Linked DNA regions of Schizosaccharomyces pombe. Changing the gene in region 3 together with the main gene of any one other region gives a genetic interaction. Each region holds a gene or a part of one and is shown on either strand. Other genes may lie near its edges.

Region 1 (3,538 bases), on a different chromosome or scaffold from region 3:
ATTGGTGTAACGTTAGAAAGACTTTATCAAGCTGAGATGGACGGTTACATTGTACGTGATGTTTATGAAGAATCTGGTTCTAGCTTACTATACTGGAAAAACGAATTTGACGAATTATCAGAAGAATTGACTAAATGGTTTGATGAATCATAGGAATAATAACTGTACACTATCTAATTAATATTCATTCCTTTTAACATTGTATTTTTCTTTCGCTTTAGTAGATTCCTCTCTACACACGCCTTAATTAATATGACTACCTGTTATGGGTATTCGATTCCCAACGTAACCATTTAATCTTAACCTACACCTATTTTATTTTTAATTCATTTGAGAAACTGTTTACACGATAGTTTCAAGAAATCTAATATATCAATATTAATAATTGTTAAATATGGAGACGTACGAGCAAGAATATCGGTATGTCTAATACCATTACAAGTTTACTAATAATTAGCTTGCTTCGAGCAGATATCGAAGAAAAACTTAATGATTTAAGTAAAAGTGGTGAGAACTCTGTTATTCAATCATGTCAGAGACTTTTAAATGAAATTGATGAAGTAGTATGTTGGAATAATTTGTGTTTTTAAAAAAGTGGCTAACTTGCAGATTGGTCAAATGGAAATTGAAATTACCGGTATCCCTACTTCTGAAAGAGGTCTCGTAAATGGAAGAATTCGTAGTTATCGTTCAACTTTGGAGGAGTGGCGTAGACACCTGGTAAGTTAGCTATATCGAACATTCTTCTTTTGAAGCTTTACAGAAATTACTATGAGACAATCTACTTTTATTTACCAAATTCATACTAACAATTTTCTCGTTTAGAAGGAAGAAATTGGCAAATCAGATAGGAAAGCCCTTTTTGGAAATAGGGATGAAACATCCGGTGATTATATTGCAAGTGATCAAGATTATGACCAAAGAACTCGTTTGTTACAAGGAACAAATAGACTTGAGCAATCTTCACAGCGTCTTCTTGAATCACAACGGATTGCGAATGAGACTGAAGGCATTGGTGCTAGCATTCTTCGTGATCTTCATGGTCAAAGAAATCAATTGGAGCATTCTTTAGAGATGGTAAGTAATTATTGCAAAATAGATAAATGAATCACTATGATTGATAAGATAAAATGCGCGATTTATACGCATATCTTAGCCAAGCTTATTAGCTCCATGGTTTAAAAATATAGTTTTCTTTTATGCTATGTATAAATTTCTTTGAGATTTGTTAACCAAATTAGCTTGGAGATACGTCTGGACACCTTGATCGAAGTTTAAGAACTCTGAAGACAATGGCAAGAAGGTAGGACACAGATAGACATTATTATAGTGATATGAATCGTCATGTAATGATCTTTTATACTAACTCATTTTAAAGACTTGCCATGAACAGATTTTTCACGACAGCAATAATTGCAATCCTTGTTATATTAATTTTGCTTGTGCTTTATAGCAAATTTCGTTAGCACAAATATTAAAGAACATCATATAACTTTAGATGGGATCTTTAAGCGTATGGGTCTCTTCCAAGTGGAATTTTACGTTTCTTGCATAATTCGCCCACATTTGACTAGCTAGCTCAACATTCATATTAGACATATTAATTAGCTTTAAGAATGTCAGCGGAAAGTTGATATGTACACAAATATTTGACGTCGTAATCTTACCTGTAATGAATGATTGAGTCTTGTAATACTTTCATTCAGCTTTTCTACATTACTTATGATCCTTCCTAATAATGCGCTTTGCTGTTCTTCCATAGGATTATTCATTTTCGATGGTTTTCAATTTCCTAAACTGTAATTATGTAGTCTGTACTTGGAAGCTTGCATGAGCCAGTGCTGACACTTCGTAGTTGGAAAAATTGAACTACAATTTTAAACCTGTGATCTAAATTTTTTTTAAGAAATTGAACTTTTTGGGAATTTATGAGTTGCATATTTATTTGAGAAGTATCAGTTGATGTTACCACCTACATTTTTATAATATATTTACGATCAAAAGGGCAGTTTAAAATATAAAAAATAATAAATTTTAATATGAAATATTGATTGAGTAAATTTTTATAAAAGGATATTGAATAAAGGATCCAAGAAATAGCCCTCCATAACGCGTATAGAAACAAATATTTATGAGAAGCAAAACATCCGAATAGTATAAAGAAGTGTGTAGTATGAAAAGGTATCAGTGCTAGGATATGGTTTATAGTGTTGTAAATAAATTATCTTGCACACCAAATTTAAGTACTTGGTCAAATGCTAATATTTAATCTCTTGATATTACTAAAATTAGACTTACTGTCGAAAATGCTGCCGACGAATGCTAAGAATTTGATCCCTTTGTGCAGGAGGTAATGCGTTAATTTGCTCTGGGGTAAGAGCCAACAATTGTTGTATGAGGGCCATCTGTTTTGTTAGTGCAAAAAAAAAAAAAAAAACGTACCCGCTTCCCTTCATTGCCCTGATCTGAACCATTCGCTTGTTGACTTTTATGGTTACTAGAAGGTATTTTTTGGGGAACAGAAGGAGGAGAGGAAGTTGCTGAAGCTGGTTGATGCATGTTTTTATTCTTCACTGCGACTACTACTTGTTGTAAGACATTTGCGTCAACTAAGTTCATCAGCAACATAGCTTGAAAGGCGGCGTATGGTAAAGCAGGATTAGCAATTAGAAGTCGTCGTGCCTCTTCTGGTGCTATATGAACTACAGTCTGAAGTTTGGACAACATATTGAGAAGTTCCTGAGCTGAGAAGGTAGATAGTACCTGAACGACAGACGGGGCCAATGGGATAGAAGTCGGATTCGATATAGAAGTCCCGGAAGTGTAATCCCCTTTGTTTTGTGAAGATTTATTATACTGAAAGGTTCTTGCATTGTATGCATCTGTATGGGGTTGACTGGCAGAATCAAAGTCGGAGGTCATACTGTTGTGAAAATTATAAGCAGGAACAGAAGTAGAATTTATATTTTTATTAAGATTAGTAGCCATTGACGACGAATAAATAGCAGGACTTGGCATCCCACCTCCTTGTGAAGCAGGCAGGGAAGATGTTGAATGCAAAACAGGAGGAATAAAACGGGAATTATAAGAACTTTCATGAGCATTTTGCTGTTCCATGTATCTATCAGTACGCTCCGTATATTCATAACTTTGATTCCTTCTGGGATCATTTGATGGAAACTCGACACGAATCTTACGAGGTCCTAATTCGGAATTATTTAACTTTCGTACAGCCATAGCGGTAGTCTCACTATCAAAAAACTCACAAAACCCATAACCCTTCCCACTACCTGTTTCCGGATCAAGTACAAGTTTGAAAGTCTTTACTGGTCCAACTTGATTAAAGATTTCAGTCATTTGCTGTTCCGAAACATCATATGGAATGTTACCAACTAAATTAGATTAGCAAAACCGAATATTTAAAGAATTATTACCAAATACGACATTCCCGGCTGTCATCGACATGCTGGTAGTCGCGTCTTTCGGTTTTGCCCATTCAACCAACGTACTGCTACTACTACTACTACTACTTAAATCA
Region 2 (4,435 bases), 1.7 Mb from region 3:
GTATAGGGTACTTTACATTTTCTTACGTTAAAGCGGGAGCTTCAACAGTTTTTTGCTGGGAAATTAATCCATGGAGTGTTGAAGCGTTAAGGAGAGCTGCTTTGAAAAATGGCTGGTCTATTTATGTAGTTCGAAATGGAGAAAACTATGAATTTAAAGTAGGAACTCATCGTATTGTAGTTTTTTTGGAAAGCAACGTTTATGCAGCTGAAAGGTTCTCCAAAATGAATATTTCTGCTCGACATATAAATTTGGGAATGCTCCCCTCTAGTGAAAAATCCTGGTCAACCGCTACTTCAATTTTAAAGCGAGAATCACATTCCTTTATACATGTTCATGAGAACGTAAAAGATGAAGATATCGAAACATACTCTTCTGAAGTGAATTCATGTTTTTCAAAAATGTTGGCTAAAAATACAGTTTGTGTTACAAATTGTGTCAAATCATTTTCACCACGAGTGTCACATATCGTTTACGATATAGAGACGGTTTAGTTAATGGTAATTTTGTTAAGGTGGTTTTTGGTTATTTTACAAAATATGTTATTAGAATGGTATATGTTATATTCTGTCTAGAAGTTTATTTAACTTCCTATTGAAAATAGAGAAAGCATGTCTGAATCTGGTAAAAGTAAGGTAGAAAAAAGAAAGACTTTGTGGTGAAAAGGAGAATCTAGTTAAGCGAAATATTTTGTGCCTCAACAACGTATCAATATATGCAATGAATGAAGTCAGCAAATGCTCTTTTAATAATGGATTGATTAAACAAAAAGATGAGAAAAATATCATAGACGTGCGAAAAATTACCATCAATATGCAAGTTACAGGAAGAAAAGAAAATGACCTAATCCCACTCATGATGCACAGTAACTGAATTAAACGATTCGAAGGGATCATCTCCATGATCTGCACCCGATAAATTAGATAGGGGAACTTCAACTGTTTGTGTGTTTTGGGGAGAATGAGTAATATCCAAACTTTTACTTTCCTTTAGATGGGAAATATTAGGATTGCCTTTTTCATCAATAGGGGCAAGCTTTGGAATAATCGGAGGCTCAGTGTGCCTTAATAGAGCCCATTGGACATTTTTAAAAAAAGGATGAAGCTTCACGTCTGCAGCACCAGCCTGTGACCCAAGGCGATCATTTTCATCTTTCACTAATAATTTTCTAATCAAATTCTTGCAAAGGCTGGAAATTGAAGGAGCATCCGCATATTCAGGGAATATAACATCCTTGTGTAAAATATTCGAAAAAGTCATGTTTCTATTTTTACCTTTGAAAGGAGTCGTGGCATATAGCATTTCATAAAATAAAATACCCAAAGTCCACCAGTCAACAGCGCTTGTATGACCACAACCCTTGATAACTTCTGGAGCAATATACTCTTCTGTGCCGACAAATGAATTTGTGCGAAAATCTGCGATACATGATTTTGTATCCAATGCGTAAGCATTTTGAGCGGATGGTGCATTCCTGGCCTGAATTACCGTTGGTGCACCGGCAGAGTTTGATTGTTTAGATAAATCAAAATCAGAAAGCATAATATGTCCTGACTCATGCAACAAAATATTTTCAGGCTTCAAATCTCTATAAATAAATCCCATCAAGTGGAGGTATTCTAATGCAGCGGTAACTTCTGCAATGTAAAATTTGGCCTCGTTTTCTGATAAACAACGGCCAGGACGTCGTTGCAAAGCTCGAAAAAACTCACCTCCCATACAATACTCCATACATAAATAAAGGTATTCATCAGATTGAAAAGAATGATAAAGTGTAACAATGAATGGGTGGTTACTTGTCGCAAGAATGTGCTGTTCTGCAAAAGCTCGTTTGCTTTTGTTGCGTTTAATCATTTCTTGCTTACTCAAAACTTTCATGGCATAAAATTTGCCAGACTTTTTTTCTCTAACAAGATAAACTCGACCGACATCTCCCTTGCCAAGTAGAAAAACCTTTTCAAAGCTAGATGGACCAACCTCAACATCACATATCTTGATAGAGTTGGAAGAATATGTTCTCGCTCTCGTTGCAACAGTTTTCTTAATATGAGCCAATTCTTTTTCCTTCCCATGAGGACTGAAAATATCTTTTAACTTTTCTCGCTGAACTGAGGTATCAGCACCATTACTACGAGAAACATTTCGCGACTTGGGAACATCTTTCTTCTTCCTCCCACTTTTAAAAAACGATTTTTTTATTACGGAAATTGAATCAGTACCACTCCCGTCACCACCTTCTGCGGAACTACCAGTGCCATCAATTTTGCGATCAGACTCTTCCTCGGTCTGCGACTCAGGTGCACCAGAAGGTGATTGATTTGCAGCATCGCTATCTTCCGACGTCAATTCTTTTTCCTTCTTTCGAGAAAAAGCAAACTTTCTGCTATCCTTAAAATGCAGCCTTATGAAGGCTCGAAACTTGGATGGCTTGGCAGTGCCGGAATGTTTCCAGTGTCCTGTGTCATCTTTCTTAGCTTCTTCTAGGTGATCTTCAACATTGATCCTTCCTTCCTCAGAGCTCTCACCATCATGAAGTTCATTCATTTGCTTTTGAAAGTGCTACGAGTCGGTCGCAATACAATTCAATTCCACTGATATTTTTGTGTATGGCGGAAAGTACACCGGATGACATTACTGAGACACTGACACTTATGATATACTAGAAATATAACCGACTGCGTTATCGATCGTTGTACCTCACAAACCGTAAGAGCAATGTTTATATAGCATACAGGAAAATATATGAAGAGCAAGAATCTGTCTATGTTTATTAAACCAAACAAATCAAAAACTATAAGTGAAAGTTATGCATGGATTGCCTAGCTTCATACAAGAGTTTTCAAAAAAGATTTTACATTCTATACTTCCAAATTATAATGAAATGGACTCCTGAAACAGCATTAAAATAACCCAGTCATAGTATACAGTGATGGAAAACATTAAAAAATTATATTCATGAGTAACCCAACATAAAAATGAATAAGATGCCCATGAGGCAACAAAAAGCTTTTTTATTTATTAAAGATCATAACTTACCAACGATCACGAATCAAACCAGTAAAACAAAACAAAGAACTCAATAATTGACCGCTAAGTTTAACGAAGAAATAGCCAAGTTACGTTTCCGTTCAATACTCTTTTCCGTAACAAGTTTGGACCACCGATCAGCAGCCTCTTTAATAAACGAATCGGGTTGAAAAGAGTATTGAACCAAATCACTCAAAAATGAGTAGATGGCAGAAGAGGAATTGCATGCTAAAATTTGTTGCTTTAAAGATTTTAGAATCGTAAGTGCAACTCTAAATAAGCATACATAACCATCACAAAACAACATGTCAAATATTCTAAAAGATATCTAAAAAAAAGTAGTTAGTAAACAATTCATACTTTAATAATCTTTCAAAACCACTTATCGTACATTCGTAGGGAGTGTATCAGTATATACACTTAAAAACCAATGAAATGAAATGGCGTCCAAATCAACCCCAAGTAATTCTAAATGGGAATAGATTTCCGGTAATGACTCTTTCACAAAGCTTTTCAAAACCAGCTGATCAGCTCGCGAAGTCATCAGGTCAGGAGTAAAGTATTTCGGAGGTAAAACGTTTTCAATTATGCTCATTAGCATATAAAACGCGTCTTCTTCTGAAGCATATAATAAAAGAAGAAAGGCACCAATAACATTCATTCCTTGACAATAGCCTATGTGTGGATTGTGGCGGCTATAAGCAACTAAAATTCGTCGTAATTTCGGGATTCCAGGTCCTTTTCCTCCAAAAAATACATTTTTAGCCATAGTCCTGTTAATATCCATATCGATTTGCGCAACACTCGCTGATTCAACCTCATCAGTACGTGATAATAGTTCTTCATAATAGCCAGGTGAATGTAATTGATAAGCGCCTGAGCACTCTAACCAAACTTTAGCTTTATAGCACAAAGGAACACCATTTTTCACAAGTTCACGAAATTTATGCCATCTTTTTTTACCATGACGCCCTTTAACACCTATGCTAGATATTCCTAGTAAACCAATTGTATCCTCATCGGTAATTTTATATTTTTTGTACAAGCGTTGAAAAAACAAGCTCCAGTTTTTTTGTCGGGTACTTTCTTTCATATCCAATAAAATATCTTTTTTATTTAGCAACAATGGAGAATCGTTGAGCCCATCTAACTCGTTGCCAAAAAAATCATCAACCAAGCCATAATTGCTTTCATAGAACGACAGAGTCTGTTTCTGATTTAATTTTATGTCCTCCGGACATAAAGGGGTGTCGTGACTTGGTCGTTTTTGTAAAAAACCAAATTGATCGAGAATTTCCTTGGAATTATTATCTAAATAATCTTTCCAATCATTTCGCATTGAGGGCGGCTGGGTTTCCTTAGGAATCATATTTCCCAACTCCACAGAACCAATTGAAGGCATCGAAGG
Region 3 (4,269 bases):
TCTTTGTTAATGTCGCTCGCTTTTGATGCTGGTCTAAAAGCAGTGTTATCCATTATTTGATTTATCATATTTATACTCAAAAAAATTCAAGACAGGAACTTGATATTCAAGCGCTGATGTTCCAATTACTCATTTGTGAAAGTTTAACTTCAGAATCTAGCGGATTTAATAAATACAATCCTAATTCTTCAACAATTGTACTATCAAATATCGTCTAGTATTTTAAATTCATTTTCTGTGCTTTAATAAAAAATCCATATCGTCTACTAGAGGCATATTTTTTTGGTTCTTCTTGCTAAATTAAGCTCGTAAAATTCCTCTATTCGCCATATCTTCTTTGGCGTTTGATCTTCTCAGTAAATTATCACATAAGGTCATTTCCTTTTTATAAAGATAATGTGTAAACAAAGAAATGCGACTTCTAATTTACGTTTCTTTACTAGCCATTAGTTTATAAATAATAAAGCATACTGGACATTGCCTTAAAAATGCACCGAACTGTTGGTCTGCGGTATTTTGATATACAGCAATACATTAGAGCTTTATATTAAATAATACCGTTTCGTTAATATATGCAAGGCCAAAATATATACAAATAAATCGACTTAATTTTTTGCCCGTTGTCAATTACTTGACAGGAAACAATTGTGTATCTTTTTTCACACATCAATGCAATTTAATGGAAGCAATGGAATAGATGAAAGCAGTGTAATTGATTTGACGAGATCACCTTCTCCACCAGTCGAAACTTCTATTTCTTCAACAAATATCATTGATTTGGATGCTATTCCTGATGACAGCTTTCCATCATCTCCTGTTCTAAGTCCTCGAAGAAGGCGTATGAACCGGAGAAGGAATGAACGGTCTCGTAACTTTCCTTCAAATCATTTATCGTATTTGGAAGACATGATTTACTTAGGTCCTCAGGTGTCCACTCGTCGTTCTTCTTCACGTCGAGATTTGATGGGAATGATTGCCAGGACATTTCCTGAGTTTAGTTCTGTTAATTCCTTATCCCCTTCTCTTTTCCAGTTGATTGTGAACCGAATGAGATTTGACGCTATACATCCAGAATGGACTAACGGTTCAGACGACGAATATTTCTCTAACCATTTTGAAGAATCATATGATGATTTTACTTCTTCTTTAGAAAATATAAAACAGTCTTACAAGCCTCCAGGCCCTCCAAAATCTGGATTTACTAGAAGCTTTAACAATGATACATTGATGGTTTGTCCAAGATGTCAGGAACCATTAGGAACATCCAAAAGCAAAGAGAAATCTGCATTATGGGCAACAAAGTGTGGTCACGTCTATTGTGGCTCTTGTGCAAAAGTTTTGAAAACCAGTAAACGATCTCAGTCAAAATGTCTAGTGAATGACTGTGGCCGTTATTTAAATACGAAAAATGCCATGTGGGAATTATTTTATTGACGAACCTTGTACATTGAAAATGTAGTCCATTGTGTTGGATTTATAATGTCTATAATAATGAAATACGACCAAAATTATCACAATTTGTGACTGAGCTTTACTTACGAATTTTTTTTAAGTTGCTAATAGGTCCTCTTTCAATACAGCAGATTTAGATTTTAGTAAAAAATACTTTGATAAAACTTAATTGAACCTTTCTTGCAAACTCAAATAGTTATTATACATCAATTTGTGCTCCAGCGACAACATGTATTCTCCGGATACGAACAAAGGCCTTGTTTCTACAGCGATTCATAATCATTTTCCTCGAATTCATCGCCTAACAATTTTTCTAAAAGATTTAAAGCCTTGGCCTTTTTCTCATTTTTTTCCAGGTCAGCATCTAAATTTCGTTGTTAGTTTAGTCGACTCAAGGAGTTACCAACCTCTAATTTGGTTCATTTCTTTCATCAAATTATCCAGATCCGTCGATTGCATGTCTGGACTTCCTTTGAATCGTTCCGGGAGATAGAAATCTCCGGCATCATCCTTTTCTTCCGAGAAACTTTTATCAACTTGTGACAAGTTCCATTCGCAGCAATCGAGAATTTCTCGAACACGGTCCAGTCCTACTTTCTCTAAAGAGACTTGTTAATAAATAGAAGATTGGTTGACTTTACCATTGAATTCATTCACTCCTTCCTCGCTGATAGAAATATATTCTGGGGTAAACACATCAGGTGGTTCTAGTAATTTTTCATCTGACATGTGCAACCCAATTACCGGAATCTCTAGCTGTAGTTTATCTATAAAATTTTTAAAAAGAGACCACTCAGCTTCATCAAAACTTCGAAAAGTATATACAATGGCACCTAAGCTATCAATAACTTCCTTCGCTTCTTCAGAACTATAAGCATCCAAAGTTTCAGCTAAATTAGAATATTCTTCAATCCAAATACCAACCGAAGCTTCAAAATATTTATTTCTGATATTATACTTATGAATCAAGCCAGAATGATCATTGTTAAATGCCTCGTCATCTAACCCCTTCGGTAAAGAACCCGTCAAAGCTTTTCAATTAGTAATTGCAAATAGAACACTAATATTTACCCTTAATAAAATCTAGCTTTCCAGAATTAGAGCGACCTATAACCAAAATAACTCGCATATGATTTTATGTACTTAGCAAAAATTAATTCGCTTTTTTATATTTTCAATCAGTTCTGTAGAATATTAAACAAGTTTTTGGTGGATAAATAAATTCTCGAAAGACCTAAAGGTAAGGCAAATTGTGATTTTAACTACAGTCTAACAGTTTAATGAAACAAGGATTGAGCAATAGTATAGCGCAGTGTGATACATTCCTAAATCAATAATGGTTTAGTTTATCACTAACGAAGGTTGGTACGTAATTTTACGTGTCCCTAACTCTGTGTTATACGCACACGCATAAATGGCTTTAAATACCAAGACGCACAAAAATTAAAGTTGACGAATTTGTCGTGCTTTGGAGTGACTTAGAATTTTAAATGCAAACAATAGACTACTATATATTAAAAGAAATATGTCGTTCACAAATGCCACGTTTTCGCAAGTGCTGGATGATTTATCAGCTAGATTTATCTTGAATTTACCAGCAGAGGAGCAAAGTAGCGTTGAACGACTTTGTTTTCAAATCGAACAAGCTCATTGGTTTTATGAAGATTTTATACGTGCGCAAAACGATCAGTTGCCATCACTAGGTTTGCGTGTTTTTAGTGCAAAGCTTTTTGCTCACTGTCCTTTATTGTGGAAGTGGAGTAAGGTCCATGAAGAGGCGTTTGATGATTTTTTACGATATAAGACTCGTATTCCTGTCCGCGGAGCTATAATGCTTGATATGTCAATGCAGCAATGCGTACTTGTCAAAGGATGGAAAGCATCATCCGGCTGGGGATTTCCTAAGGGAAAAATTGATAAAGATGAATCTGATGTTGATTGTGCTATTCGTGAAGTATATGAAGAAACAGGCTTTGACTGTTCTAGCCGTATAAATCCTAATGAATTTATTGATATGACTATACGTGGACAAAACGTTCGATTGTATATTATTCCTGGAATATCTTTGGATACAAGATTTGAATCTCGTACAAGAAAAGAAATTAGTAAAATTGAATGGCATAATCTTATGGATCTTCCTACATTCAAAAAAAATAAACCTCAGACCATGAAAAACAAATTTTACATGGTAATCCCATTTTTGGCGCCATTGAAGAAATGGATTAAGAAGAGGAATATTGCCAATAACACTACCAAAGAAAAGAACATTTCCGTTGATGTTGATGCTGATGCTTCTTCCCAACTGCTTTCTCTTTTGAAATCTTCGACAGCACCTTCAGACCTTGCTACTCCGCAACCTTCAACTTTTCCTCAGCCACCAGTTGAATCACATTCTTCTTTTGACATTAAACAGAAAATCTTGCATTTATTAAATGAAGGAAATGAACCTAAATCTCCAATTCAACTTCCTCCTGTGTCGAACCTTCCTCTTAATCCCCCCATTCAAAGCAGCAATTCTCGTTTATCGCATGATAATAACAGTTTCGATCCTTTTGCTTACCTTGGATTGGATCCAAAAAATCCATCTGCTTCTTTTCCAAGAGTTGTTTCTCAAAACAACATGTTAACTAATAAACCTGTGTTGAATAATCACTTTCAGCAGAGTATGTATTCAAATTTACTTAAAGACCAAAATTCTGTTCAGCATTTATTTGCCGCTAGCGACATGCCTTCTCCAATGGAATTGCCCTCGCCAAGTACTGTTTATCATCAAGTTTTTTATCCTCCCACTTCGACTTCCGTTAGTTCCTATGGTTT

Evidence for each region. A genetic interaction does not mean that the proteins touch.
Region 1: mutations in irc6 (region 3) and dad4 together harm fitness more than expected from each alone (negative genetic interaction), as found in Schizosaccharomyces pombe (one large-scale study listed by BioGRID).
Region 2: mutations in irc6 (region 3) and ppk14 together harm fitness less than expected from each alone (positive genetic interaction), as found in Schizosaccharomyces pombe (one large-scale study listed by BioGRID).

The regions. Positions count from the first base shown.
Region 1 is NC_003423.3:4,004,563-4,008,100, forward strand, and holds dad4 (DASH complex subunit Dad4), read right to left. Parts: upstream 1,821-3,538; 5' UTR 1,773-1,820; coding exon 1,668-1,772; intron 1,640-1,667; exon of another isoform or gene 1,609-1,639; coding exon 1,495-1,608; 3' UTR 1,467-1,494; coding exon of another isoform or gene 1,379-1,466; 3' UTR 1,304-1,378; coding exon of another isoform or gene 1,242-1,303; 3' UTR 1,078-1,241; coding exon of another isoform or gene 826-1,077; 3' UTR 721-825; coding exon of another isoform or gene 610-720; 3' UTR 564-609; downstream 1-563. Other genes in the region: ESCRT II complex subunit Vps36, read left to right, coding at 1-153; SNARE protein Vti1, read left to right, coding at 395-420, 458-563, 610-720, 826-1,077, 1,242-1,303, 1,379-1,466; cleavage and polyadenylation specificity factor complex subunit Ctf1, read right to left, coding at 2,295-2,405, 2,443-3,392, 3,435-3,465.
Region 2 is NC_003424.3:768,732-773,166, reverse strand, and holds ppk14 (serine/threonine protein kinase Ppk14), read right to left. Parts: upstream 2,628-4,435; 5' UTR 2,545-2,627; coding exon 844-2,544; 3' UTR 501-843; downstream 1-500. Other genes in the region: tRNA 4-demethylwyosine alpha-amino-alpha-carboxypropyltransferase Trm12, read left to right, coding at 1-494; SPOM_SPAC4G8.04 (GTPase-activating protein), read right to left, coding at 3,077-3,355, 3,419-4,435.
Region 3 is NC_003424.3:2,463,660-2,467,928, reverse strand, and holds irc6 (recombination protein Irc6), read right to left. Parts: upstream 2,705-4,269; 5' UTR 2,582-2,704; coding exon 2,524-2,581; exon of another isoform or gene 2,484-2,523; coding exon 2,094-2,483; exon of another isoform or gene 2,052-2,093; coding exon 1,860-2,051; exon of another isoform or gene 1,817-1,859; coding exon 1,716-1,816; 3' UTR 1,435-1,715; coding exon of another isoform or gene 670-1,434; 3' UTR 501-669; downstream 1-500. Other genes in the region: SUMO-targeted ubiquitin-protein ligase subunit Rfp1, read left to right, coding at 670-1,434; mRNA-decapping complex catalytic subunit Dcp2, read left to right, coding at 2,978-4,269.